Stegostoma tigrinum: one gene and its partners. The protein of the gene in region 3 interacts with the protein of the main gene of each other region in a biochemical or structural test. Links are inferred from orthologs where the notes say so. Each region holds a gene or a part of one and is shown on either strand. Other genes may lie near its edges.

The links.
Region 1: the proteins of protein c-Fos-like (region 3) and runx1 form a complex in vitro, tested with the Homo sapiens proteins (2 studies listed by BioGRID). The link is inferred for Stegostoma tigrinum from reciprocal best matches to the Homo sapiens genes FOS and RUNX1.
Region 2: the proteins of protein c-Fos-like (region 3) and runx2a form a complex in vitro, tested with the Homo sapiens proteins (2 studies listed by BioGRID). The link is inferred for Stegostoma tigrinum from reciprocal best matches to the Homo sapiens genes FOS and RUNX2.

Annotation. Positions count from the first base shown.
Region 1 is NC_081365.1:22,188,676-22,198,588, reverse strand, and holds the start of runx1 (runt-related transcription factor 1), read left to right. Parts: upstream 1-5,094; 5' UTR 5,095-5,255; intron 5,256-5,435; 5' UTR 5,436-5,479; coding exon 5,480-5,537; intron 5,538-9,913.
Region 2 is NC_081357.1:75,381,364-75,392,044, forward strand, and holds the start of runx2a (RUNX family transcription factor 2a), read right to left. Parts: upstream 4,487-10,681; 5' UTR 4,014-4,486; coding exon 3,699-4,013; intron 2,891-3,698; coding exon 2,734-2,890; intron 1-2,733. Other genes in the region: supt3h (transcription initiation protein SPT3 homolog), read left to right, coding at 9,221-9,273. UniProt on the Homo sapiens protein: Transcription factor involved in osteoblastic differentiation and skeletal morphogenesis. Essential for the maturation of osteoblasts and both intramembranous and endochondral ossification.
Region 3 is NC_081363.1:1,204,875-1,215,826, forward strand, and holds the start of protein c-Fos-like, read right to left. Parts: upstream 4,190-10,952; 5' UTR 4,118-4,189; coding exon 3,989-4,117; intron 1,741-3,988; coding exon 1,564-1,740; intron 1,336-1,563; coding exon 1,228-1,335; intron 887-1,227; coding exon 395-886; 3' UTR 1-394. UniProt on the Homo sapiens protein: Nuclear phosphoprotein which forms a tight but non-covalently linked complex with the JUN/AP-1 transcription factor. In the heterodimer, FOS and JUN/AP-1 basic regions each seems to interact with symmetrical DNA half sites.

The DNA of each region.
Region 1 (9,913 bases), on a different chromosome or scaffold from region 3:
TTGCTGTTCTCTATAACCATTACCACCTAGTTTGCATTTTGTTCTATGATACCTCGGCTTCTTAATCCTCCCTTCCCTTTTCAGCAGTAGACAACCCATCCCATTTTTACCTATCCTTGGTTCGTACAGGATCAAGAAGAATTTTTAAAAAACATATTATCAAAATGGTGGGATTGCAAAGCTCTGAGATGCAGTGGGATCTGGGTATTCCAGTGCATGGATAGCAAAATATAGTTTGAAGATACAACAAGTAATTCAGAAAGTTAATCCAATGTTACCATTTATTGTGAAGGGTACTGAATGCAAATGTGGGGAAGTTATGCTTTAGTTTTACTGGGAATTGGTGAGCTCATTTCTAGAGCATTGTGCACAGCACTGGTTTCCTTATATAAGGGAGAATATAAATGCAACAAATGTATACTAGACTGGAATGGGCAAATTGTCTTATGAAGGAAAGTTGCACAGACTAGGATTGTGTCCACTGGAATGTAGTTATTAAGAGATATGGGTCACAGGAGTGTATATGGAGTTAGGTCATCGATCAGGCATGACCTCATTGAATGGCGGTACAGTCTTGAGGGACCAAGTGACCTACTCCTGTTCCCATATTCCTACCTTGCTCTCCAGGAGAGTACAAGGTGACATTACTGAAATATATAAGATCCTGAGGGGTCATGACAGGGTGCACATGGAAAGAATGTTCTTCTTGTAGGAGCATCTAGAATTAGGCGATTCAAGATAAAGGAAGCACAGATTTAAGATAGAGTTGAGGGGAGGGTTTTATTTTTCTCTTCGAGATTTGGGAGGTTTTAGGATTAGCTTTATGAAAAGGTGGTGGAAGCAATGTCTCTGAATAGTTTGAAGGAGGAGGTGCATAGATTCTTGGCAAGCAGGTAAGTGGAAGATTATCAGGAGTGGGTGCGAATATGGAGAAAACTTATTAGATGATAGAATAGGCTGGAGAGGGCAAATGGCCTACTTCTGATGCTAACTCACATTTTATATATTATATTGGACTTGAAACATTAACTCCGCTTTTCTGTCTCTCTCTACAAATGTTGCAAGACCTGCTGAGGCTTTCCATCACTTTTTTTAAAATTTGAGATCTCAAGCATTCCCAGTATTTGTTTTTATGTTAACTCTTGTCTTACTACCCTATTGCACCAACCGCTTTGGGGTTAAGGCTAGTTTGAATTTTGCCTTCTGTGTGTTAGCTGATCAGCACCCTGGTTGCCGGGAAGTGCTCCACATTAGTTTAGGCTAGGAATTAGCCAATGTAGGAGGTTAGGTGAGACTACGATCAGCTGTCTAAGAGTCTCTTGGCACACTCTGTCAAACCTTGAGGTGTACATGCCATACAATCGCCTAGTTACTAGAAATTGGAACAACACAGTTCCTGCAAAGTGTGCCAACACCAGAGAGCGGGATTGAAAAAAATGGATTGAAATCATTCATATTATTACTGTGATCTCAAAAAAGAAAATCAATGTAGAATCATGTGCAACCTTTTCATCTGATTCTCCTTGGGAAAATACATCTGATATTTCACTTTCCACTAAACTTCACAAAGATGTATCTCCAAAAGATTACTAATCTGAATTTGAAACTGAAGTCAAATTTTGGTTTCCTCAGTGATTCAGCTTTTGAAGGATAATGTTCAGATAACTACAAGCTCTAACTTATGGCTCTAACCACTCAGCTTAAAGCCTGAAAATGTATTCCTGCTAATTCTTGTAGGCAGCAATGGCTAAAAAAATACAATCAGCGTCATAGGACATGACTGTATAACAAATAAAGAGTTTAATAATGTAATTAATACTGATGAATAAATAGTAGTTGAAAATATCAAAAGCTTTTTTGGTTCATATCTACTGTACTGATTCCAACTAAATGGATAAGGTACACAATATTATTATTACATCTTCCTGCATTTAAGACTCAACTATATAATTAACGTCAATGTGAATGGTTTCTAAAACTCCTACAAACAAACATAATTCGACATCATCTCAAATGGAGTTCATTTTAAAAAAAGCCTGCATTTCTGTTGCAATAAAATTGACATTTCAAAATTCCTGGTGATAAAATTAATTTTGTGTGGCTAACTGGTTAAGCCCATAACTAAAAAGGATTATTTCATACTCTCATGGCATTTTGCCCCTCCTGCTGGTGCTAAGTTTTGTTTTAGAGTAGCTTCACGCATTAGTAATCAGTTATACAGAGCCTTGTATAGCTACAAGCTGACTCAAAGCACTTTAGAACCAACTAAACACTTTTTTGATAAACACAAAGAGGTGCAGATGATGGAAATCTGAAACAAAAACAGAGTGCTGGAGAAACACAGCAGATCCGGTAGAATCTGTAGAGAGAATACAGAGGTAACATTTTGAGTTTGGCAATCCTTCATTAGAACTCAAGTACATTTCTGTTTTGTCCTTTGTTCTCATGTTAAAAAACATGGAAACAAACTTGGATGCAGCAAGCTCACACAAACAATAATTGATCAAGTAAACATTTTAAAAACCCTGTTGCTTAAGGGATACATACTGGTCATACACGAGAAAACTTCTGCTCCAACTCAATTAATCCATGGGATCCTTAAACATCAACTGAACAGGCAGACGGGGACTTGGCGCTTCTGAAAGATACATGTCTATTTAGATTTTGTGGTGATATTTGAACCTAAGAGCTTACAGGCTCAGAGATGGCAGTGCTCTGAGGCATACAGTACACCAGGGGTGGAAATATCTCACCCAATTTCCCTTCATTTTCAATCAGTGAATACCAGTGGGCTCAGACACCATGGCAGACAAGATCAATTCTCTGTCCTCTCCAGACGTCACCATTGCTGCATCCTCTAACAGGGATACATATTAAACATTGATTGTTCTCCCATGCTGACCCAGAGCCATTTACTTCAATCCTAGAACCTTAGCTCCTATCTCAGTTGAATTTCATCAACAGGGTATTAATGAAGCAAAGAATGTGTTCAAGGTGTAATAATGAGCCATAGAATACCTGTGACCCACTGGTCTATGGTGGAGGGCAGGCTGCTCTTGTTCTGGAATATCTTAAAATATATCGATAGGACCAAAGAAATTTGAATGGTTGCACACAGCTTGGCTGTTAATGACTGATATTTAACTCGGAAAGCTTCTTCAGAGCTCGATTCCTGTTCTTGGCTTCCTCACATTGCTTCCACGTGCATTTTTAACATCTCTACACATCGATTGATGTCAAAGAGCCAGCAGACCTCCGTAGATGCATCCTCTTGTGGAAAGGAGCCATGAGCTGGGCTGGGAACAATTAACAGCGATAGGATGAGGGAAGGGAGGGGGTTGGTGGGTGGAATCTTGCTCTTTGACTAACACAGCCTTGCCAATGGCTATGCCTGAACATCACTCAAGAAGAAAGGAGAGACAAACACCCCTATTTTGTTCCGCCCTCTTTGCTTTCATTTTTTTCGAATATAACATCAAATGATTCTGAATACTGTGGCACCAATTGCATGGAAATGAGCACCAGGCTTCGCGAAGCATAATAGCCTGGAAGTACAAGGAAGAATTCATAATGTACATCTCTCACACATGGTGAAGTTATTTGCCGACATACATCCACACCATCACACTAACGGACTACAATTTCTTTGTTGAAAGATACAGCTTGTCACCAGAGGTTGAAGATTTAATTTTTTTTTAATTGGTAAATTTCATCTATGTGTAGGAACACACAAAGAAAAAGTTAGCAGCAGATGGATCAGTTAAATTGCAATGTGGTTAACTGCAAAGGAAATTCAAAACTTTGTTCACAGAATACTTGCAGTGAGCCAGCTGCTGTACACCCAGGCACACTCCAACCTAACAATTAGTAGTCCCAATCACTTGCATTGTCCGCTCGAAAAAAAGGCAACGTAAGCCAGTAATAAGCAGACGACACATAGAATAATGTGCCACTTACCAATGGAGAATAAATTCGTTGACTTGCCTTTCAAATCCTTGGACTGCAATTAGAACATAAAGGCACTAATGTATTTCTTTTAGGAAATAACTGCTCGGAATAGGACCTTGTGAAAAGTGCTGCGACAGTTACTGGCGATACTGAGTACAAGGTGAGTCCCTAAATTCTCTATAACTTGCAGAATCACTTTATTTAGCTAAGTACTTTTTTTGATATCAGGTATCCTATTCGGAAATTGCCTCTGATTTCATCAATTAGTAGCAATCTGATATATAAGTGCTCCCGGTTAAGTGTTTTAAAGTTCAATTTCTTTTTCCCCTATTTGTTTTCCTACTCTCAGGGAGGGCTGATTCCACAGGTGCCAAGTCGGTAGCTCTCCATGCCGTTGCTTCAGCGCCCACTCTTCATACAGGCGCTGAACATCAGCAGAAAGTTCAGCAGTGGACGGGCATTAGAGACGGTCCTGATTGCCTCATTTCATGGACACCCTCATACACTTCAAGCAAGATCTGGGCAGGATGCAGTAGGAGTATTGAGCAGCGTGCAAATGTCACCTAGGATTTTCACTTCAAGGTTATTAAAAGTTAAAATTTAGAATTGGAGATGTCCATATTCCAATAATATTAGAAAAATTGTTCATTCTTCTACGAAGATTGAGGGGAAGAAATAATCGCAAAGGCACCAAATGTACCGCCAAAAATGTATACCACACTCTGAACATAATTAAACCAAAATCATAATGTTATCGTAACACTTCCAAGTGAGAAATTCTTTTCTTTTCGATAACTATGATAAAAAATTAGCAATAGAATTCATTTCTTTAAAACTGTATTATTTTCAGCAGTACAAAAATTGAAAGCCGCAGTGAAATATTACTGATGGTTTAAAACAGCTCCATTACTCTTAAAGCAACACAGGCTCTGTTGTACAGGATCATATCGTTCTATTTGCATAATAAGCAAAAAGGGACTGTGAGTCAGTTTTGCAAACTCTAGCCTCTGCTATTTCCTGACTGAGCTAAGGGGAGGGCAGGTGGGGCGGGAAGGGCATGCTACAATGAGAAAAAAAGCGACATCACTTGGGGCACATGATCAACGGCAGCCAATTAGGTTGAATTATCAAAGGGGAACAGTTAAATTTGTAATTTAGGTTGTGTGAAACTCTTTGGGCCTCATAAACAACCACAGAACCACAAGTTGGGTGCAGACCAGTCACACAACAGTGGGTCCGGGATATTGGTCAGCACACAGCAACTCATTCTGATTTAAACCACAGAGTGCCAAGCATTTCGTACAGTGGTAAGCATCATCTAACCACAACCAATCCACTATTTTTACATTTCAGACCTCAAAAAAGTACCTTATCGTGTTGTTTGCAGCACTGCAGAAGCTCTGTGATAAGGTAAAAGGAAATTGCCAAAGATGAACGGTACGGTGGAGAGTGCGACTCTTAAATTCTGTTGGTTTTCCTTTGAAAAGGTGGGAGACCTGTGCAACCAGTTAGGACGGCTTCACGGGACACCATGGCTTCGAACAGCATATTCGAGTCATTTCCTTCATATCAACAGTGCTTCATGCGAGGTGAGTACCCCTGTTTAAAATGATTCACTCCGGTGCATGTTGAGAAATAGTCCTCCAACATTAGATACAAGAAAGATGCTGTTGCTTTTGTGGCTGCACGATGAGTACTTACTGAGTTCATAGCTGATGCAGAAAAAGGTTTATTTTTAAGCATTTCATTTTAGTTGGCAATTATCTCCAGTTCAATAAACACTCTGCTGAGGACAGAGAAGTGGCTCAGAAACTGAAACACGTCTGTCATGAGCAGCTTTTCTCACAATATGATATGACTCTTGTCTGATGGATTCGTTGAAGAAAGTGTGTACTCTTTAGGGCTGACTGAAGAAACACTGGAGTCTTTAGTAAAGTCGTTTTGAAAACACAGAATTAGTCACCCTTGACTGTGAGGAAACAGAAGTACGAGATATATGTTCAGAAGCTTATGTCATTTTGAGTCACTAACAGTCGTCAGAATCAGGCTGCTTTTCTTTCAATGTTTTTGAAAAAGAATGACTACAATGAAGTGAGAGAGACTGATAAATGCATGAGCAACACCCTTGAAACAAAGATTGATAACTCTCTTTCTAAACTGTTGCTCAATTGTACATAGCATGTCACTGTTTTCAGTACAATCTGCACCTTAAGCGAGAAATTTGTACCATCGACTCATGGTGGTTGGATGATTTATGCATTCCTGCATCATCATTCAGCTCCGTCGAATGGCCACAGTCCCAGTGTAAACTTGCTAACAGCTCCCTTGGCTCACTAAACAACTGTTTCCTCAGTGCTGTTAACAGCCAGAGGAAACAATATTCACCAAATAATGAGAAGGACCTTCCTGCATTCAGTTTGCTTTTATTTCATGTTTTGTTTCCAACCCGTGGCCACAGGAAAACTTATTGAGGAAATTTTTACGAGTTAGATAAGGTAATAAAGAGCAATGTATAAATAATCCTTTTTCACTGATACAGAATGCAGGCAGCTGAGGCATAGGCTGCTGAACAGTTAAGGGTATTAGTTAAGACGCCATTTTTAGCCCATCACATCGGGTGAAAGAGTAAGAAGAGGAGAGACCTTGAAGCAGGCAGACCACCAGACCACCATTGGTCTGTCCAATTGATGGCTAAAACAAAAGAAGGGCAATTGCCACATGCAAACCAGACAGGTATTCAATAGAACTTGAATAGACATGAGGAGGAGAGTCTTTTTAAATATGTGTATAATAAAGCCGTAAATTTGGAAAGGAAATCAGCTTATTTAATCTGCTTGTACTTGAGATAAATTTGTTTTTGTTATTTTGGCTTGGCTTCCTCTTTTTCCCTTGCCTGTGCATTGAACTCTGGTCAGCCTTGAGATATGAGGCAAAAACAGAATGCCTCCTGGACACATGCAAGTTAGATAAATAATCATGTCTGTGGGCAAATTGTTTCTGGTGCACTTTTCTCCTGGCTATTTGCATAGCCCGGTCTTTGCAAACGTTCCCGGCGCCGCTCTCTCCATCTTTTGCAACAACACTGCTGAAATTTATTGCCCTCGCTCTGCTAACAAACCCCGAATGGTCAGCTGTGGGGAAATAACAAGTGGTTCTCGTCCCATATATTTCACTTTATCAGTCCTTGCAGTTCTCTCAGAAGGAAATCCATAACTCTTGTAGCACGATACCCATGTTAAAAATGAGAAGGAGAGAAAAAAAAAGCAATTGTTCTATTCTAAGAAAACACTGGAAGAAAGCTGACGCATGAATTGAGTGTGGTACACCACAAAGGATATGGGTCTTTTCTATCATACCACACCAGGCTCTCCCTTCTGCTCTCCTACAAGGAAACTGCTGAAGTCGCACCTTCCAATGAAACATTGCGCCCCAAGAGGATGGATGTTTTCAGTTTACAGTGAGTTTAAACATTAATCCTGGTAGAGAATATAAGCGCAGTTTCATTGTTCTGGTAATATATCACTCAATGGTACATTGTGTTCCAGCAAACCTTGCGCTGTGCACTGGTAATCTTTTCATTTTGCATTCACGATCTAACTATCAAAGGATTGCAGGGTTGTGGGAGGTGAGGTAGAATAAAAGAGAGACTTGTTTTAACATTGTGCTCTTCCTGAATGCAGAAAATCTCAAGGTGCTTCAAAGCCAATAAAAACTATTGAGGTGTTGTCTATGATGTGGTGTAGATAATGCGGCAGTCAATTTCCACACAGCAAGCTCCCACAATACACAGCAAGCAATATTATACTGTTCCGGTAATCTGTTATTGTGATGTTCATTGAAAGGTACATACTAGCCAGGGTATCAGGGAGAACTCTGCTGCTTCCCTGAAAAATAGGGCCAAGGGATCTTTTTGATCCACTGAGTGTAAAGAGAGCCTTGGTCTCATTCAGAAGATGATGCACATGCTGCACCTTTTCCTGATTCTTGTGCTCAAAAATTTACCAAAAAAGTAGAGTTGCTACCAATAGTATTAAGGCCTTACTCTGACTCTCTTCACTGATGAGTTTGGCTTACATTCTAAATTTTGTTAAATATTGTTGACATTACATTCATTATATTTCACTGCATCACTAGATAATGCATAAGCAAAGGCATTGTTAGTTAAGTATCTACAAAATGAGCAGGACAGTGGCTCTGTGGTTAGCACTGCTGCTTCACAGTGCCACGCACCAGGGTTCCATTCCACCCCGAGGTGGCACTCTGTGTGAGGTTCTACTCAGATCTGTGTGGGTTTCCTTCGGGTGCTCTGGTTTCCTGTCACAGTCCAAAGATGTGCAGGCTAGGTGGATTGACCATGGGAAATATGCGATTACAGGGCAGGGGGAATGGGTCTGGATGAGATGTCCTTTTGGAGGTTCAGTGTTGATTTGATGGGCTGAATGCCCTGCTTCCACACTGTAGTGAATCCATGAATGAGGCATTTCACAATGCCTGGCACTACAAATCTGTTGCATGAGTCAAGACTGGAAGGGATATGCTGAATGAATATTAGACATTGCCTGGTTTGATATCAAGTATACTCACTGACTACCACAGGAAGGCACAATTCCACAGCATAAACATCACTTGAACTTGGTTCTCATCTTGGTTTCTTTTGATGAATTAAGACAAGTACTGCTCTGAAAGACTGGGAACAAGAGGCTGTTAAATCCCAATTTATCCATATGAAAAATATTAAAATAGAAAAAGAAAATTTCTAGATTGTTTCCTTATTCCTCATCATTGGCAACATTACTGCGATCATCCATGCAATATTTACTCAAGAAACATTGAATATCCTCCTATAATAAATTGTTATCCACTAGGAAATGCATTTTGCGCACATGTATTGAAGCAAATGGGTAATAAAGGATTCTAAGGTAAATAGAATGTTTGAAATAAATATTTTAAAGTTGAGAAGAACTTTCATTTACATAGCACCTTTTGCATTCTCACACTATCCCAAAATGTGTTACAGTCAACCAGGTCCTTGTGAAATATGCCCACTGTTGAAAATACTGCAGCCACTTGATTTACAAGAAGGCAGCAGTGAGTTATATCATCAGGATATGTAGCTTTAGGTGTTAGTTGAGGGGTAAATGTTCACCAGGACACAAGTCAACCTTTGTTCCAAATATAAAATTTATAACATACATTAAGTGGAACATCTGATCACCTTTGAGGTCTGTTCATTTTGTTTCTCAACCATTTACCACTGGGTGGCATGGTGGCTCGGTTAGCACTGCTGCCTCACAGCACCAAGGACCCACCTTTGATTCCACCCTGAAGCCGCTGTCTGTGTGGAGTTTGCACATTCTCCCCATGTCTGTGTGGGTTTTCTCCAGCTGCTCCAGTCACCTCCCACAGTCTAAAGATGTGCAGATTAGTTGGATTGGCCATGCTAAATTGCCCATCGTGTCTAGGGATGTGCAGGCTAAGTGGATTAGCTATGGGAAATGCAGGGTTAATGGGCAGGGAGGTGGGTCTGGGTGGGATGGTGTTTGGAAGTTCGGTGTGGACTTGATGGGCCGAATGGATATAAGGATTCTATGACTTAAGTAAACCAAAACAACAATGCAGTGAAAAATGATGACTCCTGTGTAGAGTTAACGACAGAAATAACAGCTGAGAAGTGGTAAGCGTTTGAAAGTTCACAAATAAGCTCATTTTGATATTTAATGGAGTGAATGTGTTCATTTAGACAGATCCTATTCCCTAAGCTGTTATAAATACTGCTCAAACTAACCTTTGCTTCCGTAAATATTAACCCACACCCTCCTGAGTAAACAGGCTGGATCATTTCTTAGTGTCAGACGGGGTAAAGTGGGAGCTGTGTGCCTTGGCATGCAGCAGAGGTTCAAGCTCAATGATGCTGTATATACCACAAGGACCCAAAACCTTTTCCCAATGTATTGTCAGTATTTAA
Region 2 (10,681 bases), on a different chromosome or scaffold from region 3:
TGGTTTATTTTGTGATAATAAGATAGTGTTATGGTCACTATGATGGAGACTAGCCGTATTTTAGAAAATCCTACACTAAGCAATTTAAATTCAACTGGCTACTGTGGTGGAATTTGAATCCATGTCATTAGCCTAGGTTATTAGCCTAAACATACTGCCATAGCACCAATCCTGGGAGCAGGGCAGTCATAGGTCAGACTATATTTTTTAATCCAGATAACTAGTACAAAACAGATTGCATGTTTACTCATTCATTTATTGTTTGTGTGACTTTGCTGACAGAAAATTACTTACTTAGGAATGGTTAAGTTCAAAAGTAATTATATGGTTCTTAAAAACACTTTAGGACATCGAGTGAGGGACCAGTGTCCAATGCAAATTCTGTAATCCAAGAATATAACAGTCTAAAACAAAAATATATTACATTTGTAATTCCTACATTATAAAGTGTCAATATCTCAAAAGTGCCTGTAAAACATCTTGGGATGCTCAGGGTCATGAAAGGTAAATAAACTGCAAGATTATCTTCTTTCTTACATTGATCGTTGGCTCTGCAGTGAACTGAAGAAGTTCACCTGGAATAGTACTGTTTTAAAATCTTTAAATTAACCACCTCAAAGGCACATAATTATTAATAATATCATTGCCAGAATATTTTTGTGAACCTGTTTAAATTTGACAAGGTCCTTGTTGATAGTTTAAGTTATCCATAATATCATTTAAAACCTGGTGAAGGCATTCATCCAAACAAAAGAACATTACTGACTTTGAAATGTAAATATATCTATGAAGATTGCATCTTTCTGTGTGACTACCCTACTCTTTAGAGTTAAGTGAATATCTGTTAATCATCTAAATATTTCAAAAAGTCTGTTATTTAATACTATGGAATGGCTGCACAATTTGTAAACTGCTTGGGGAGTATCAGAAAATTGAATGGATTATACGATCGAGCATCCTGTACCTTTCGAATGTTTATAAGGTAGATATGGAATTGTTAGTCATTTCCAATAGCAGTTAATGCAGTAATGCTTCAAGACAGGAAGAGGTGGGCGTTGTAAAGTGAGTCAATAAAACAGTCATCACTTTGCATCAATGCAGAACTTTGCATAAACCAATGAATGAATCAGAACAGACTGTTTCAAACTCTGTTACTCACAGTCATTTGCTGGATGTTAATATCTATGTTTGTTTAAAGGCCCATTGTTTTATAATTTCAAACCTTCTGTCTTCCTGTTTGACCTTTTCTTAAATTTCTGTTGTTGAAACGTTTTTGATTTTATGAGAGAGTTGCATTAACTTTCCTCAAATTTTCATTTAGCAAATATCTGCAAATGACTATCCAACTGACCTAATGTTGATTGTCCACTTTCCTATTTTTGTACTGGATCTTTTTTATTCTACTGCCAGTTAAGTTGTCTATGTTGGTCTGCTGTCTAAGATCAGTTAATAGGTAACTCAGGTTCTAAGTGACTGAATAGTTTGAATGCTTGTTTCCCTGTCCTTACACTGACTGGATCTGTTGGTGGTGGCTCAATGTAGAGTAGAATGCTCAATGTTCAGTAGAAATGGGCATCAATTAACGATCTTATCTCTTCCCCCCTCTCCTCTTGAACTGAATCTCACTAGACAAGTCTCGACTTAAAACCTCTTTTGTAGCTCTTCCTGCCTTTGGCACACTCGGAGCTGGAAACAAGCCGTCTGCTTCAAAGCAAACCAAGGGTTTGTTCCACGAAGATCATAAGAAAAAAAGGGTCAAGTCTGTTTGGACATAATTACACTTCATCAAAAGAAGCTTTCTTCATCTTCCATGCGTGAAAAGCCTGCAAGCAGTTAGCCTTTTTTTGAAAGGAAAAAAAAAGCTTTTTGGGAATGGAGCCAAGAGAAAAGCAAAACAGTAAAACTGGGTACACCACTCCTTTGTGATTTCTTTGAACTTTTTAAACAACTTTTTCAGGTATATGCAGTTTATGTGTTTGCATTGTGCATTGACTTTGGTTAATACGTTTCTTTTTACAGAAAACAAGAGACGTGGCACTCAATGTGAGTTTTAGAAACCCCCTTTTTTTCTCCCTTTTCATAAGGATTAATTTTAGAAAAGTGTTGGCGTGTAAGAGAAATCCTTCCGGCTATTAACTATATGTCTCTTTCAAGCGAAAAGAGAAAGCTGATCCAGTAAGGATTAACGTGGAATAAAAACTGTCAATTCGCTAATTTCTGAATTTCTGAAGAGGGTGATGTTTACAAAGATGTTGAACCTCAGAACGCAGATACATTTCAGCAATGGGCATCTGGAAAAAATGTCCTTGCAATTTTGTCCAGATTTTTCAGCTCATCTGACTAAACAATGTTTCCTTGTTGAAAGACGAGACGACAGTAAAATTAGCCGTCGAACACGGGAAAGGGACGGAGACAAAAAAAGCAGGAGAGCGAGGTTCCAAAATTTCGAGAAGTTGATACGATAAACAGGTGGAAAAGAACTTGACAAAAAAACAGCAGAAATAGGTGGAGTGCCAGGCAGATACATAGACCCTACAACCATTCTTTAAAATCGGATGCAGTTAACTTCTTTGAACAATAATTTCTATACCAGCATATATGCAGGATGGTGTCACGTTCCCGTGCCTCGGAAATACCACTTGGACCACACACGCAAGCACACACACATCATTACTTATAATGTGCAAACGCGGATAAATTATCCGGGAATTTAAACCAGGTAAATTACTGTACCCCTTCCACTTCGGCCCACGAAGCGCAAGTCATTGAAACGAGCCACTTGGTTCTTCATTACTGCCGAGGCGTTGCGGAGTTCGGCGGAATAATTCTCGTCATTGCCGGCCATAACGGTGACCACAGTGCCGTCAGGAACATCCCCCAAGGCTACCACCTGTCAGAGGGGAAAGCACAGCGTCAATACACTGGGTTCGCTACCGCCCATGGCGAACGACCTGGTTGTCTCCAAGAACAGTCGCTTTGCTTAAGCAACACATTTAAGCATTTGCTAAAGAACTCTCATAAAGGTGGATATTGTCCAGTCATTTTACAGATGGTACAGTTGTTCCATCTCCCCTTATACGTTGAAAGCTAAACAAAAAGACATTGACTTAGCTCTGTGAAAAATTTTATTGTGAAGATTAAAACAAAAAGTCGATATGGTTTGCAGGAAAATATGCGAACTGTCCCAGCTGTACCATTCAATCCCCATGACTGTTTATCATTACAGTAAACCCTTATTTAGGCGTATAGGGAATTAGTTTGAAGCGTACATTCTGCTCTTTGTAAAGGAGCTGGAGTGACCGGGTGTACTACCAAGTTGCTATTAGTTAAGTTACTTTGTTTGTTGTTGGACATATTTATGTAACAATCACTAAAAGCTAAAAATTCAAGAAATGATCCACGTACTGTCCTCTGACATAGGTTTGTCTGTACTGTGTGCCATAATGTAACAGCAGAGAAATGCTGCATATTCACCGTTTTGTCGTCTAACTCTGTCTAAGTACAAACTATAGAAAGATATAACTAAAATGCTATAAATTCTAAAAAAATTACCATAAATACGCACTAAAAGCGGCAAAAAAATTTACATTCACTCCAATGTGCCGAAAATCCATATCTTCACTTTTTTACCGCTTGGTTTTGTTTCCAGTACTTTATTCCTACTCTGGACGAACTCTTAAAATAAACTTTTTTTTTACCTTGAATGCCACGGGCAGCGTTTTATTACACCTCCAGTGGGATGGTAGGACAGAGCAGAGGAAGTTAGGGCTGTCAGTCCGGACCAGCTCTGCTGGATGATCGGCAATGATATCCACCATGGTTCGGTTCTCATGGGGCCGGATCAGAGACCTGCCGAGCGCTGCCGCCGCTGCTGCCCCGGCTGTTCCCACTCCGGGCCCGGGCTCCTGGTGAGGGACCATCCCGCTCACATCGCTCATCTTTCCCGATGCTGGTAATGTGGTGGACGGTGGAGTAAAACGCCGGCTCGTAGTGGGATCTACGGGAATACGCATCACAACACTTTGATTAGGGGCTTACAGTAGCCACAAATAGTCAATCTGTCCAATTAATGCCAGCTATTGTCACTCAATCCAGTCCAGTTTCTTTATTTTGTTTCGTTTTTTCTCCTTTTAAATAAAGAAGTTTTTTTTCAGGAAGGCCACTTATTCCTCCTGCAACTATTAATATATTCCAAATGTATGTCTTTGGGGAGAAAATTTCTAATCCAACTTGTGGTCAAGGCGATCAAGAGGGGGGAAAGCCACAGTTTCCAACTGGTGGTTTCACGGAGGTTGGGATTATAAAGCAAGTTTGTGGTCATGAAAAAAGTGAGCGATGATGAGACATCAAAGAGCACGTGGTGGCTGTAGGAGTCATACACGAATTTAAAAAACACTGTATTCCCTTGTAAGACGAGAGGCCGAGACGATCTCGCTGGTATTTTCCAAATCCGATTCTCGTCCCAAATATATACATGAAAGTATATTTTGATCCTCGCTGCTGGGGAAATAATTTTCAGGGAACGGCTGTAGATTGCACACTAAAACATATCTTTGAATGAATGAGTTATAAAGCATGCCCCCCCCCCCCCGCCAAGAGTAAGGCTTTGCTAAAAAAAATGCACTATGAAAATCATTTACATATCCAATCGTAAAAAGTGCAAACGCCTACTTGTTATGATCCGAGCCTATCAAAGCCCTCAGATGGTTTCTTCATAGCTTATTTCCTCAAAAAGTGTTAGGAGGCAGCCGACTTCCAGTTTCTGTTGTGGTTTTGCTTAGGTCTTAAAGTTCTGCGACTGAGTTCATTTCGATATGTGTTCAAATGTTTGCACAACACTGTAAATCGCTTCTAAATGCTACACGCAGCCTGCGCAACAGTGCCACTGTGGGTTAATTTTATTGAAATTATTTACGAAACATGAATGAGAGGACGAGAGCGCATTGGGCTTGGAACGAATCGAATCTCAGCCTGTTAACTGATTGCTGTAAATTAGCGGTAAACCCAACGATAACTTTCAAACGCACAAAAGCTACTTGAATTTGAGTGAGGAAGCAATTATTTAGCCAGTCAGTAATCTGGCACCGGCATCGCTCTTGTTAAACCAACTTCAAACGACGTGCTTTTCAGAAGTATTCATCAAAGGGACATGATATATGACATGCAACGTTATGTCAAAATGTTATATTCGATACACTCATTACACGGATTGACTAATAAGGCTTTGGCTTCTCTCCAGATAACTATGTACGAAATTCAATCATAATAATCTGCAACGTTACATTTAGCGATTAGCAAAGCTAAACAGGGCATATGTCAGAGACTGCACAATGAAGAGCGATGACTGCTGAACACGACTGCTACACGATCCCGTTTATTGTAGTTGAAAAGAATCTTCAATAAAATTACATGCTTTTTTTTGCATTTGGTAAACTTTTTTCCCAGTCCGAAAGGAGCCCTGGTCAAGGCGTGGGTACGTTTTCTTTAAATATATAGTGTTAAACTATTTAGGTAACTTTAATTGCCTCAATAGAGTATGTGCTGAGGGAACAACTGGATTATAAACACACCGTGGGATGGATGGTTAGCAGTCAGTTGATGTTGCAAAACTGCCAACGCACCATACCAACACGCTACACCAGAGCTCACAAATCCTAACGAAAACCCCCCGCTGACTCCCATTTGTTTCGGATTTCCACGCACGCGTCTTGAAGTGCCACGCACGCTTTGACTGACATGGCGAACATCCACTGAGCGATGGAACAGCGCCTAGGCAACCGCGAATCATAGGCGGACGGATAACCAATCAGCGCCAATGAGGGGCAGGCAGCGCTCGCGCTAACCCCTCTTGTAAATCCATCTCGGCGCCGCTGGAAGTTGTAGTTCCTATTCCACGGAGACAGGAACCACGGACTACAACTTTTCAGCGTGCGCCTCGAACTGCGACTGCGTGGATGTGAGTGGGCCGGAAGTCTTGGTTTTACGCGCGAGGAGTTGTCAGTGGACTGGAGGAGAGAAACAAACAGAGATCAGTGAGACAGTTTACAAGGCCAATTCCTTCTGGTGCTGGCTAATTGTTTACTTATTGGGGATTTGCTCACTAAAACAAAAGTGAGTAGAATATTTGGGGCAGCTTTTGTGCCACAGGCCCGCATTTTCAATTTGATATCTTTTAGCAGGATCCTGCATCCCTTAATCTAGTTTGTACGTTTCTCGTTAAGTGACACAGGGCAGACTTGAGGTAGAAGGGGAAAGAGGACGGGATGAGTTTGTCGCCGCACGGCGGCTGAAAACATTTTGGTTTTAAAGTGGGTGGTGCGTTCCGTTTCCGCTGCCTAATCCTCACACGTGTAGCCTAACCGACCCAACCGTGTGGCCAGTATCATCTACAGACCGCCCCCCGCTTCGTTAGTGTGGCTAACATATTCTCCTCTCTCCCTCTCTTCCCTGGTCCCCTTTTCTCCCCCCAGCATCTTATCTACTTTTCCCTTCGTCGCATGCACCCACTGCTGCCCAGTACAGCCGGTTCTTCCGTGCCAACCATCTTCCAGTGAACGGTTGGTATTTTCAATCCCACCCCACGCCCACCAGGACAGCGAGTGGCTCCAAACCACCGACTCCGAGTGCGGCCCATAGCCCCTCCCCTCCCGAATGCCCTCAGAGCGAGTGAACAGTATCTTCATCATCCAGTACACCGAACATCCCACCACCAACCAACTTCTCATCTCTCGGAGCTGCTAGCAGATCCCCCCACCTTACCGTGTCTCATTGTGGCTAGTGTTCACTCCCCTCGCTCTCTACACCCAGGGATGTGCAGGCCAGGTGGATTAGCTATGGTAGTTGGGGGTGGGGTGGGGTGGTTTTGGTGATAGACTGGGATGTCCTTTGGAGACTTGGTGCAAACTCGATGTGTCGAATTGCCTCTTTCTGCATCACAGGGATTCTATGATTTTAACTCAACTTAACCATTTCCCATCGCAGCCAGTACCTCTCACATGAATCTCCACCTTTGTTGCCATTATTCTCCCAGTGCAGCTAACATCCTCCTGGAACCACCCCTTAGCGCAGCGATTATCCACCCTCTGCCTCTCTTCAACACTCTGCCCCAGAAGGCAGTGGAGGCCAAGTCTCTGGGTACTTTCAAGAAAGAGCTCTTAAAGATAGTGGAATCAAGGGTTATGGGGATAAGGCAGGAACAGGATACTGATTGTGGATGATCAGCCATGATCATAATGAATGGTGGTGCTGACTTGAAGGGCCGAATGGCCTACTTCTGCACCTATTGTCTATTGTTTAACACCTTGTACCACATTCTAGTTGCTGCCAGAACTCTGCCATGCCTTTCTTGTGGCCAGTGTCCTTGCCTTACCTTCCAGCTCAGCTAACAGTGACTGGACTCACATGATGCAAAACATATTGCTCATTTTTAATTATTTCTCCTTTTGCTTTAGGATCTCCTATTCCAAGCATCTCTGTGGTGAGGTAAGTACGGTAACCTGCCTCAGATTAGTGCTTATATATAAGTAGCATCTAATAGGAACTGTAAAATTCCCTGACACCACTTGATAATAATAGGTGGAGGGATGGGGTAGGGGAAATAAAAAAAGCCATGCTTGTTATCACTAGTATTATTGAATATTTACATACTGAGTTTCTACCAGCGAACAAAGATTGTGGATATGGACTGGCAATAGGCATTTGATAACATTAGAACAACATTAGATGGTGGGCAGATAAATGATAGATTAAATTTAATACAGAGAAATTTGAAGTGATTCATTCTTCCTACAGAAATGATGTGAGACAGTACAGACTAAAGGATACAACTGCAAACAGGGCACAGGAACAGAGAGACCTAGGGGTATGTATGCACAAGTCTTATGGGTAAAAGGGCAGGTTGAGGAAATAGTTAATGAAACGTGGGGTGTGGGCTTTACATATAAAAAATACAAAAATAAACAAATAACCTCTGTAAAACACTGGTTTGGACCTTAACTATATTATTATCTCCAACATTAGCCACCATGCATTAGGTGTCATTAGAGGGATGTAGGAAAGACTTGTAAGAATAATTGCAAGGACTTGGAACTTCAGAGTTGGTAGATTGGGGAATCTGTTCAATCTCATTGGACAAGAAAAGATTGAAGATACCTGATAGTGGCTTTGAAAATTGCGAGGGGTCTGGATAGAATAAATAAAGGAAAATATGTTCCCAGCTTTTCCAGTAACTTCTGTTTTTGTTCCTGATTTACAGCATCCGCAGCTCTTTCCGTTTTTACAAAATAGGCAGACGTGACATGAAATATACCACAGAAATATCAATTAGTTTTGATGAGGATTGAATAGAAACAATATAAATTAAACAATGTAATTTTAGAGAGGATACATGAATGTAGGAGCCTTGGAATGCATTACACAAGTCTTTGATGTTAGAGTAAGTTGAGAAAGTTACTCAAAAGCTGCACATGGTCCTGACCGTTATTGATACATAGTATACAAAAGCAAGGATGTTATGACTCTTTAAAAAATACTGTGCACAGCCTCAACTGGAGAATTATGCTTTATTTTTGGTACGAGACTTTAGATTGGATGTTAAACTCCTAGGCTGTGGAGATGAGTGAATAGGATGTTAGCAGGGATGACAAACTTGACTACTGTGTCATGATTACAGGACTTGGGATGTTCTCATTAGAACAGAGAAAGCTAAGAGGACAATGAATGAGATGTTCAAAATCATGGACACTGTTGATCTAAGTAACAAACCAGTTGGATTTATCAAAGTTTTCCTGGCTGCAGGTAAAGCTGGGGCATAGCGAGACTACGTGAGTTGCTGTTGCAGAAAATTGGCACAGAAATGACAGGCTGAGCTGTAACCATTCTATGATAGAGTAAATAAGGCAAATAGTTTCAGAGCCTACAGACTTAAAATAACTTGTGAAAGAGGCAGTAGTGACGTGAAGGAGAAAATGTGGCAGGTAATGATCTTGAATGTACTCGCTGAAAGGAAGGTTGAAGAATATTCTCCATTCATTTTGAAGAGTTTTGAAGAAATGGTTGTGGGGGAAAAATGCAGAAATTGCGGCTGAGTGAGACTGTTTGGATAACGGTCAAAAATATCCCATGTATTCTGTATCATTTTATGAATGCTAATTGAAACTAGCTTTACAACTGTGCTTCTCCTGAAAAAACAGCACACTTGAGGACTTAAAAGAGGAAGATAATGCCTAACCAAACTTCACAATATTTAAGTGACATCCCACTTGGACTATGGAGGTAAGAAACAACACCCCCCATCCCCCAATTGCAATGTAGCTAGATTTTCAAAAGACATTGGACAATATCCCCTGTGAATATATATCAGTTGAACTAGAAAGTGTTGATGATAAATCAGATGAAGTGTAGACAGCAGTTGGACCTGCTATATTTTTATTAGGGGGGTTGGTGCATTTTCTCCAAGGATTTCATGCTGAGGCCACCACCATTTCTCATTTGCATAAATAGTTCTGATTTCTTAACTCAAAGCAAAATGGTTGTTTTTCTCTGTGCCTGTACACGATATTGGTTAGGCCACCTTTTGAATATTGAGTTCGATTCTGGTCTCCTGCCATAGGAAATATGTTGTTGGACTTGAAAGGGTGTTATCGGGTTTGAAAGGTTTGGGCTATAGGGAGAGACTGAATAGGCTGGGGCTATTTTCTCTGGACCATTGGAGGTTGAGGGGTGACCTTATAGGGAATTATAAAATCAATAGGGGCATAGATAGGGTGAGGAGTAGCCAAGGTTGTTTTCCCAGGGTAGGGGAGTCCAAAACTAGAGAGCATAGGTTTAAGGTGAGAGGGGGAAGATTTAAAAGGGATCTAAGGGGCAACTTTTTCACACAGGGTATTGCATGAATGGAATGAGCTGTCGGAGAAAGTGGTGGAGGCGGTACAGTTACAACATTTAAAAGGCATCTGGATGGGCACATAAATAGGAAGGGTTTAGAGGGCTGTGGGCCAAATGCTAGCAAGTGGAACTAGGTTAATCTAGGATATATGGTTGGTACGGATGAGTTGGACTGAAGGGTCTGTTTCCAAGATGTACAACTCTGATTCTCTGACTCTAAGGGCAATGGAATTGAAGGAAGCATTCAAAAGTAAAAGTTGGCAAAATGCACACGTAGATGAGGGACATTGAATGTAGACGGGAGTGTAATGTTGTGGAAAAAATTCTAATAATTTATTGTTCAGAAATGTTATTACATATCCTTGGAATGGGTGGGACTTGAACCTGGTTCTCAATTTAGAAAGAACATTCATTTTGTAGAGGCAGTTTTTTTTACAATAGTATGGGAAGATGCTTGTATTTTAGATTGAACTGTAGAATTAGGACAAGGAGGGAATAGGGTTAAACTATCAAAGTAACTTGTATTATCACAAAGTTCTTGATGTGGAGAGTGCTAGATAATTGAAACGGATTTCCAGATGTATTAATTGGAAGTGAAAATCTTGGATACATTACATAATTATTCCTGTATTGTTTAATTTTCTTCCTCATCTTTGATTCTGTTTCAAAGAAAAATGGGAGATAAACATGTTAAGAAGTATGAAAACGCTCGCAAAGGAAATAGAGATTTTGAGTACATGTGAATTATGTTGATATGAATTAGGGCTGAAGAGGTTGATTTTTTTTTTAATTGAGC
Region 3 (10,952 bases):
TAAATCATTTTATTAATGTTAGCACAAGGCAAACACTTAATCTCATGGAAAATAGAAAAAATAAATATTTCTAGAAATAAATTAAACCGTTTTCATGGAAAACTGATGTCAATATTCAAGACCACTGAACACAATGAAGAGCAAGGTAATATTTTTAAAAATAAACTTTTACAATAAATTATTGTTGATATGTTATAGTCACACCATATCGCAGTAATATAGATACGACGAAACACCATCTGGAGAAGAGTCTAGCACCGTGTCTCTGGCTGAGTGAGTAACAGTGTGGAGCTTCAGCCCAGGGAGGAGGCCAGTCTCATGCATTTCCCAGGCTGATGCATGCAGCGCTGGGGAGCTGGCTGTGTCCATGTCCGTGTCCATGTCCCTCAGCTTCTTACAAGGCTAGCAGGGTAGGAGAGTTCAGAGAGTCGGAGGAATGGTCACTGCTAGCCCCGGGGCCGAGAGAGGAGCCACACGCCGCCAGCTCCGGGTAGCTGAAGGCGAAGGAAGACGAGTAGGAACCGCTCGGGGTGGCGGGCAGGACAGGGGTACACAGGGGCTCACAGTCGGCGGGCAGTGAGGAATACAGAGGCTCCCAGTCGGCTAGGTTGATCAAATCCACATCGGGGACTGAGCGGCCTGTGTCAATGCTGCCCAGTAAGTCCGCTCCCAGGTTATTGTCCAGGCCTGGGGCTGGGGCTGCTGCACGCTCCGGGTCCGCTCTCTCCATGCTGCTGCCGCCGGGGAGCCCCGGGGCCTCGGGCTCTGGGATGCGACATACCGGCCGGTGAGCCGCCAGGATAAACTCCAGCTTCTCTTTCTCCTTCAGCAGCTCCGCTACCTCCGTCTCCAGAACAGACTTCTCCCCTTCCAACTTCTCCGTCTCCTGCACGGGGTGGGGAACAAAAACAAACCCCCTACTGGTTAGTCAAAGGGCGGCTCACAGCAGAGAGACACCCCCCACAACAAGCCCTGCAACACCCCCTCCCAGAGACCTCAACATACTCAGCCCCTCCCCAGGCGGTGGGGCAGCTACAGTCAAAACCCGGTCCTGAGCCGGGTTGGGGGGTTGAGAGAGTGAACTTGGATAAGTGGGCGTCTGGGTCAGCACAGGCTCGATGGGCCGAACGGCCACTTTCCGCACCGTTGGGATTCTATGATTCGACTCCCCCCACCCCCATAACCGGCACTACCCCCCCCCCCCCACGGTCCCGGAGCCGCACTCACCGTCTGCAGGCTGTCGGTCAGCTCCCTCCTCCGGTTCCGGCATTTAGCTGCAGCCAGTTTGTTCCGCTCCCTCCGGACCTTGCGCTTCTCCTCATCCTCGGGGCTCAGCTGCAAAGTGGGGAGAGAGAGAGAGAGAGAGAGAGGGGGCGGGCGGTGAGACCCTGTTTCATAGACCGCAGCAAACATTATCCCCCACCGCTCCAGCCGAGCCTGCATCCCTCCGGATTGCCCCCCCCCCCCCACCCCCAGCTGAACGGCAGGTACAGTGCCCCCCCACGTCAGGGGCAGTACCACGCTTCCCGCCCCGCAAAGCCCCCTCCTTGGAGCCGGCCTCACCTGGTCAGTCTTGCCCCTGCGGCCGGGGCATTTGCTGCTGGCGGCCCGTGCCCTGTACGGGGCTCCGAGGCTGTACTCGTGCCTGGGCCGGGGGCTCAGGGTGGGCTGCACCATCCACTGCAGCTCGGGCCGGCGGCTCAGGGCCGTCAGACTGGGGGCGAGCTCGGAGCCAGGGTCCTGCAGAGAGAAAGAGAAACACATGAGACAGAGGCCGGGACACAGACAGACTTCACCCCCCCCCAGGGGGACAGAGAGAGAGAGACACACACACACCCCCCCCCCCCCCAAGGGCGACAGAGAGAGAGAGACACACACACACACCCCCCCCCCCCAAGGGCGACAGAGAGAGAGAGACACACACACACACCCCCCCCCCCCAAGGGGGACAGAGAGAGAGAGAGACACACACACACCCCCCCCCCCAAGGGGGACAGAGAGAGAGACACACACACACACACCCCCCCCCCCAAGGGGGACAGAGAGAGAGAGAGACACACACACACCCCCCCCCCCCCAAGGGGGACAGAGAGAGAGAGAGACACACACACACCCCCCCCCCCCAAGGGGGACAGAGAGAGAGAGACACACACACACCCCCCCCCCCCCCAAGGGGGACAGAGAGAGAGACACACACACACACACCCCCCCCCCCAAGGGGGACAGAGAGAGAGACACACACACACACACACCCCCCCCCCAAGGGGGACAGAGAGAGAGACACACACACACACCCCCCCCCCCAAGGGGGACAGAGAGAGAGACACACACACACACACCCCCCCCCCAAGGGGGACAGAGAGAGAGACACACACACACACACCCCCCCCCCAAGGGGGACAGAGAGAGAGACACACACACACACCCCCCCCCCCCCAAGGGGGACAGAGAGAGAGAGAGACACACACACACCCCCCCCCCCCCAAGGGGGACAGAGAGAGAGACACACACACACACACACACACACACACTCAGGCGCCCCCCCCCCCCGTGCGGGGATACCCCCCCTCCCCACCTCGGGGCCAAGATTGTTTTTGTGAATGGAGTTGACGTCACGGGGTTTATTAATAAAGCGGCGCTGATTGGTTCAGAGCGAGCGCATCACCAGCCCCAGACGTCACACTTTACGTGGATTCTCCCGGAACCAGAGAGAGCACAGCCCTCCCACCGCGGGACAAAATACATACCCCCCCCGATCCGTGTTTACCCCGCCAACCCCCCACCGATCCGTGTTTACCCCGCCAACCCCCCCCCCAGCGTCAGCGTCTACCCTACCCCGCCAACCCCCCCCCAGCGTCAGCGTCTACCCTACCCCGCCAACCCCCCCCCCCAGCGTCAGCCCTACCCCGCCAACCCCCCCCCCCAGCGTCAGCGTCTACCCTACCCCGCCAACCCCCCCCCCCAGCGTCAGCGTCTACCCTACCCCGCCAACCCCCCCCCCCAGCGTCAGCGTCTACCCTACCCCGCCAACCCCCCCCCCCAGCGTCAGCGTCTACCCTACCCCGCCAACCCCCCCCCCCAGCGTCAGCGTCTACCCTACCCCGCCAACCCCCCCCCCAGCGTCAGCGTCTACCCTACCCCGCCAACCCCCCCCCCCAGCGTCAGCGTCTACCCTACCCCGCCAACCCCCCCCCCCAGCGTCAGTGTCTACCCCGCTACCCCACCAACCCCCCAGCGTCAGTGTCTACCCCGCTACCCCACCAACCCCCCAGCGTCAGTGTCTACCCCGCTACCCCACCAACCCCCCAGCGTCAGTGTCTACCCCGCTACCCCACCAACCCCCCAGCGTCAGTGTCTACCCCGCTACCCCACCAACCCCCCAGCGTCAGTGTCTACCCCGCTACCCCACCAACCCCCCAGCGTCAGTGTCTACCCCGCTACCCCACCAACCCCCCAGCGTCAGTGTCTACCCCGCTACCCCACCAACCCCCCAGCGTCAGTGTCTACCCCGCTACCCCACCAACCCCCCAGCGTCAGTGTCTACCCCGCTACCCCACCAACCCCCCAGCGTCAGTGTCTACCCCGCTACCCCACCAACCCCCCAGCGTCAGTGTCTACCCCGCTACCCCACCAACCCCCCAGCGTCAGTGTCTACCCCGCTACCCCACCAACCCCCCAGCGTCAGTGTCTACCCCGCTACCCCACCAACCCCCCAGCGTCAGTGTCTACCCCGCTACCCCACCAACCCCCCAGCGTCAGTGTCTACCCCGCTACCCCACCAACCCCCCAGCGTCAGTGTTTACCCCGCCACCCCCACAGCGTCAACCCCACCAACCCCCCCGCCGTCAGTGTTCACCCCCCACCGTCAGTGTTCACCCCACCAACCCCCCCCAGCGTGGGTGTTTACCCCTCCAGTGTTTACCCCAGCACCCCCTGCCCCCCAGCATCAGTGTTTACCCCAGCCCCATCTAATCTCTCGGTCACTTACCGAGACGTGGGCCGGGCTGCCCAGGCTGGAGAAGGAGTCTGCGGGTGAGAAATAGAACGGATCGCCAATGGACGGCGAGTTGCTGCAGCGGGAAGCGGAGTCGTAGTCGGTGCTGAAAGCCTGGAACATTGTGCCGGGTCTCCGGGCTGCCTGTGTCCGCGCTATCTGCCTTTCCGTCCCGGTGCTGTTCGCTGTCTCTCTCCGGAGGGTTTGCTGTGTCAGGCTCGGACCCATCGCCTTTTATTGGATTTGCGGCGAATGACGCACCTGGACGGCTCCATCATGCATAGGTGAATAGGGGGGGCAGAGTCGTCCATGCAGACACTACAAACACTAGAGAGACAGGACAGAGAGGTTCCGGACGGTCAGAAGTAGCGGGAGTCTAAATCAGCTCCATTTCTCAGTCAACGGCCGCCTGAGCCTCGGGAACTGCCGGTTTCGCTTGGTCTTGTCAGTTCACCCAACCCACGCCGAATTGGTGCGGCCCAGCACCGGGAACCTACTGACGTAGATGCCCTTATTTGGAGTGAGGTCCGGAAAGCGGGATGCGCGGAGGGAGGGGGAGTGAGAGAGAGCCGGCGGCACAGCAAGATCCCAGGCTGCCAGCAGGGACACTGCAAAACAACAACAACAACAACCAGCTGGGCAGGAGCAGAAAGAAAACTGATGCCGCCTCTGTAGCTGGGAATTGCAGCCAGCCAGCATTCTGCCTCAGTGCCACATCTCTCTGTTTGTATGCCCTGTCCTCACATTTAACCCGGCTTCGTCACCCTGTCCCATCCGAATATTTATAACTTATTCTCAACTGCCTGTATGCAAAGTGTGAGAAATGCGCGGTGTAAGCTGCCTGCCTTGTACGGAACGATATCTTTGCTCCAGATCAGTTTTCATGCATCCACAGGATGTGGATGCCGCGAGCTTGGAGTAGGAGCTGCTGGCTTCTTGAATTGCTGCAGTCTGCGTGCTGTTGGTACATTCAGAATGCTGGGAGGGCATCCCAGGACTTTGACCCAGTGACAGTCAAGGAATGCCGATATATTTCCAAACCAGGATAATGTGCGGTTTGTGAAACCTTGCGATTCTCTCCGAGGGCTGGTAGTGTTGTCAAAGTAGGTATAAACACAGGGAGCTGTCCCTGCAGAAAAAAAAAAGCACTGTGCCTTATTTGAAATAACAACAGCATAAGTAAGGGTCAGGATAATAAAATGTGAGGCTGGATGAACACAGCAGGCCCAGCAGCATCTCAGGAGCACAAAAGCTGACGTTTCGGGCCTAGACCCTTCATCAGAGAGGATGAAGGGTCTAGGCCCGAAACGTCAGCTTTTGTGCTCCTGAGATGCTGCTTGGCCTGCTGTGTTCATCCAGCCTCACATTTTATTATCTTGGAATTCTCCAGCATCTGCAGTTCCCATTATCACAGCATAAGGGTCAGGTTTGCGCTCCTAAGATGCAGCTTGGCCGATTGTGTTCATCCAGCTCCACACTTTGTTATCCCTGTTGTCTATGCTTGACACCTCAACCAATTGAAGTCCAGAGGTCGAAGAATCAGCACACCTTTTCATGCAGTATAAATTATTTCCTCTGAAATTTGTTACTCTTGTCCCTGTCCTGATGTTCGAAAAAAGAAACTTTGACAGCATCTTTTATAGCAACATTCACACACAGGAATTATTCAGGCAGATGTCCAAAGCTTGGTCAGCGAGCATCATTTTGAGGACCATCTTAAAGGAGGATGGAGAGATGGTAACATTTAGGGATAGAATTCCAGACTTAATGTCCAGCTTTCTGAAGGCCCAATCACTGACTGAGGTTGTGTAAGTTCAGTTTTGAGATCTGCAGACATTGTGCAGCTGGAGGAGACTGTGAGGGCTGGATGGGGAGATGGATTTGAGAAGTCAAGGATGGATTTGAAAATAAAAATGCAAATAATTTTAAGATTGAACCTATGTTGAAGAAATATTCTTTGAAAATTAAACAACATTTTGATATATTTACAGTTCCTCGGATACTGAAGACGTCCATGCAGCAAAACATGGACAATATCAAGGCTGGGCTGTAAAGTGGAAAATAATATTCTCATCCAGGCAATGGCCAGAGAGAATACAACCATTGCTCCATGGCAGTCAATGGCAATGTCACCGCTGAATCCCCCATGAATGTGGGGCTACATTATAAAGGGTCAGGGAGAGACATGAATAACAGACAATAGGTGCAGGAGTAGGCCATTCAGCCCTTCAAGCCAGCGCCACCATTCATTATGATCATGGTTGATCATCCACAATCAATATCCTGTTCCTGCCTTATCCCCAAAACCCTTGATTCCACTATCTTTAAGAGCTCTGTCCATCTCTTTCTTAAAAGCATCCAGAGACTTTGGCCTCCACTGCCTTCTGGGGCAGAGCATTCCATATATCCACCACTCTCTGGGTGAAGAAGTTTTTCCTCAACTCTGTTCTAAATGGCCTACCCCTTATTTTTAAACTGTGTCCTCTGGTTCTGGACTCACACATCAGCGGAAACATGCATCCTGCCTCCAGAGTGTCCAATCCCTTAATAATCTTATATGTCTCAATCAGATCCCCTCTCATCCTTATAAGTTCAAGTGTATACAAGCCCAGTCGCTCCAATCTTTCAACATATGATAGCCCTGCCATTCCAGGAATTGACCTCGTGAACATACGCTGCACTCCCTCAATAGCAAGAATGTCCTTCCTCAAATTTGGAGACCAAAACTGCATACAATACTGCAGGTCAAGCACGATTTTCCCTTTGTAAATCCATGCTGACTCTGACCTATCCTGTTACTGCTATCCAAATGAGTCGTAATTTCATCTTTTATAATTGACTCCAGCATCTTTCCCACCACTGATGTCAGGCTAACCAGTTTATAATTCCCTGTTTTCTCTCTCCCTCCTTTCCTGAAAAGTGGGACAACATTAGCCACTCTCCAATCCCCAGGAACTGATCCTGAATCTCTTGAACATTGGAAAATGATTACCAACGCGTCCACAATTTCTAGAGTCACCTCCTTAAGTACCCTGGGATGCAGACCATCAGGTCCAGGGGACTTATCAGCCTTCAGAACAAACAGTCTGTCCAACACCATTTCCAGCCAAATATAAATTCCCTTCACTTCATCCATTACCCTAGGTCCTTCAGCCACTATTGTATCTGGGAGATTGCTTGTGTCTTCCTGAGTGAAGGCAGATCCAAAGTATCTATTCAGGTACAAACACAGAATGTAGAAGGAAAGCAGAAGAATGGTTCCAGGAATGAGAAACTTCACTGATAAGATAGATTGAAGAAATTGGGATTGTTAAGTTTTCAAAATCACAGGTAGAGTAGATAAGGAGAAGCTGTTGTCACCTGTAAAAGAAGAAAGCACAAAAGGGCACAGATTGCTGGATTCTGATGAAGTACCACAGGATTGGAAAACTGCCAGGTGACACTCACGATTCAAAAAGGGAGGGATGCAAAAAGCAGGTAACCATAGGCTGATTATCCTAACATCTATTGTTGGAAAACTAATGGTATCAATTATTTAGAAAGTAATAGCAGAACATTTGGTATTTGATGGTGTTAGGCAAGGACTCTAGAATTTTACCAACAACTGAGGTTAGGCTAATCAGCCTGACAAACCTGTTAGAATTCTTTGAAGAGGTAAGAAGTATGTTAGACCAGGGAAACCCAGTGGATGTTATCTATCTAGACTTCCAAAAGGCCTTTGATAAGGTGCCTCACAGGAGGCTGCTGAGCAAGGTGAGGGCCCATGGTGTTCAAGGTGAGCTACTGGCATGGATTGAGGGTTGGCTGTCTGACAGAAGGCAAAGAGTTGGGATAAAAGGTTTTTCGGAATGGCAACTGGTGACGAGTGGTGTCCCGCGGGATTCAGTATTGGGGCCGCAGCTGTTCGCCTTATATATTAATGATCTGGATGAAGGGTCTGGGGGCTTTCTGGCGAAGTTTGCCGATGATACGAAGATAGGTGGACAGGCAGGTAGCACTGAGGAGGTGGGGAAGTTGCAGAAAGATTTAGACGGTTTAGGAGAGTGGTCCAGGAAAGGCTGATGTGAATTCATTGTTGATTGGGGGTAGACGTCTGCAGGTAAAGGGATTGTTCGAAAATGGGAATCATTAAAAAATGAGGTAACAAGGGTCCAGAGACAGTATGTTCCTGTTAGGGTGAAGGGCAAGGCGGGTAGACGTAGGGAATGCTGGATGACTGGAGAAATTGAGTTTTTGGTCAAGAAAAATAAGGAAACATCAGGTATAGACAGCAGGGATCAAGTGAATCCCTAGAAGAATGTAAAGGCAGTAGGATATACTTAATAGGGAAATCAGGAGGGCAAAAAGGAAACATGAAATAGCTTTGGCAAATAGGGTTAAGGAGAATTCAAAAGAATTCTACAAATATATTGAGGACAAAAAGGTAATTAGTGACAGAATAGGGTCTCTTAAAGATCAGTAAGGTCACCTATGTGTGAAGTTGCAGGAGATGAGGAAAAGACTAAACAAGTATTCTGCATCTGTGTTTAGAGTGGAGAAGGATATAGAAGATAGAGAACTTGCAAAGTAAATAATGCAATCTTTAAAAAAATCCATATTACAGAGGAGGTGGTGCTGAATGTCTTAAAATGCATAAAGGTGGATAAATCCCAGGGACCTGACCAGGTGTACACTAAGTGAGGGAAAAGATTACTGGGCCCCTCGCTGAGATATTTGTATCATTGATAACCACAGGTAAGGTGCCAGAGAATGGAGGCTGGCTAACATGGATCCACTATTTAAGAAAGGTGGTAAGGGAAAGCCAGGGAACTATAGACCATTGAGCCTGGCATTAATGGTGGACAAGTTGTTGGAGGGAACCCTGAGGGACAGGATTTACACGTATTTGGAAAGGCAAGGACTGATTAGAGATAGTCAAAATGTTTTTGTGCATGGGAAATTGTGTCTCACTAGCTTGATTGAATTTTTTGAAGCAGTTACAAAGAGGATTGATGAGGGCAGAGCGATAGGTGTGATCTATATGGACTTCAATAAGGCATTCGAGAAGGTTCCTCGTGGTAGACTGGTTAGCAAGGTTAGATCACAGGGAGAATTAACTGTTTCAATACAGAACTGGCTCAAAGGTAGAAGACGGAGGGACGTGGTGGAGACTTGGTTTTCAGCCTGGAAGCTTGTGACTAGCGGTGTGTCACAAGGATCGGTGTTATGTCCACTGCTTTTTACCATTTATATAAATGTTCTGGATATGAACATAGGAAGTAGGGTTCGTACATTCGTAAATGACACTAAAATTGGCGGTGCAGTAGACAGCGAAGAAGGTTACCTCAGTGTATAATGGGATCTCCATCAGATGGGCCAATGGGCCGAGGAGTGACAGATGAAGTTTAATTTAGATAAATGTGAGGTGCTGCATTTTGGAAAGGGCAGGACTTACACACTTAATGGTAGGGTCCTGGAGAGTGTTACTGAACAAAGAGATCTTGAACTGCAGATTCATGGTTCCTTCAAAGAAAGAGTTGTAGGTAGATAGGATAGTGAGGGAGGTATGTGGTAGACTTGCCTTTATTGGTCAGTGCATTGAGTATTGGCATTGGGTGGTCATGTTGCTGCTGTACAGGATATTGATTAGGCCACTATTGGAATACTGTGGGCAATTCTGGTCTCCCTGCCATAGGAAGGATGTTGTGAAACTTGAAAGGGTTCAGAAAAGATTTACACAGAACAACACAGCGCAGAACAGGCCCTTCGGCCCTCGATGTTGCGCCGACCTGTGAACTAATCTATGCCCCTCCCCCTACACTATCCCATCATTATCCATATGCTTATCCAAGGACTGTTTAAATGCCCCTAATGTGGCTGAGTTAACTAAGCCACATAAAACACCTACGAGGATGTTGCCAAGTTTAAGCTGTCTGGAGAGGCTGAATAGGCTAGGGCTATTTTCCCTGGAGTATCAAAGTCTGAGGGGTAACTTTATAAAGGTTTATAAAATCATGAGGAGCATAGATAGAGTAAATAGACAGGGTCTTTTCCCCAGGGTGGGTAAGTCCAAAGCTAGGGGACATAGGCTGAAAGTGAGAAGGGAAAAACATAAAAGGGATCTAAGGGGCAAATTTTTCACACAGAGTTTGGTGCATATATGGAATGAACTGCCAGAGGATGTGGTGGAGGCTGGTACAATTGCGACATTTAAAAGGCATCTGGAGGGATATATGAATAGGAAGGGTTCAGAGAGATCTGGGCCAAATGCTGACAAGTGGAATGAGATTTATATGGGATATCTGGTTGAGTTGGAATTAAGGGTCTGTTTCTGTGCTGTAGAGCTCGATGCTCTATTTAAGCAGAGTCAGCATGGCTTCATGAAAGGGAAATCGTATCTGACTAAGTTTCTGAATGAAGTCTCAACTGGAGTGGATGGACGAAGCCAGCAGATGCACTTGGATTCAGAAGGTGTTCCTCACAAAAGATTAAGTTGTAAGATAAGATCCCACAGGGTTGGAGGTAGTATGTTGGCACGGAAAAATAATTCAGTCATGGCAGGAAACAGCAAGTGGGCATAAGGGATTTTTTCAGGTTGGCAATGTGTAACCAATGAGGTTCCACAGGGATCAGTGCTGGGGCCACAACTGTTTACAGTATATATTTATAACTTGGAGCAATTTTGGTCACCTTATTTAAGGAAAGATATAATTTCATTGGTGGTAGTTCAGGGAAGGTTCATTGGGATGATCCTGGTATGGAAGGATTGTTTTTGAAGTTAAACAGGTTCAGACTCTACTCATTGGAGTTTAGAAGAATGAGAGGTGATTTCATTAAAACACATAGGATTCTCAAGGGGCTTGACAGGATAAATGCTGAGAGGATGTTTCCCCTCATGGGAGAGTCTAGGGCCAGAGAGCATAGCCTCAGAATAAAAGGGTGCCAATTTAACACTAAGATGAGGAGGAATTTCTTCTCT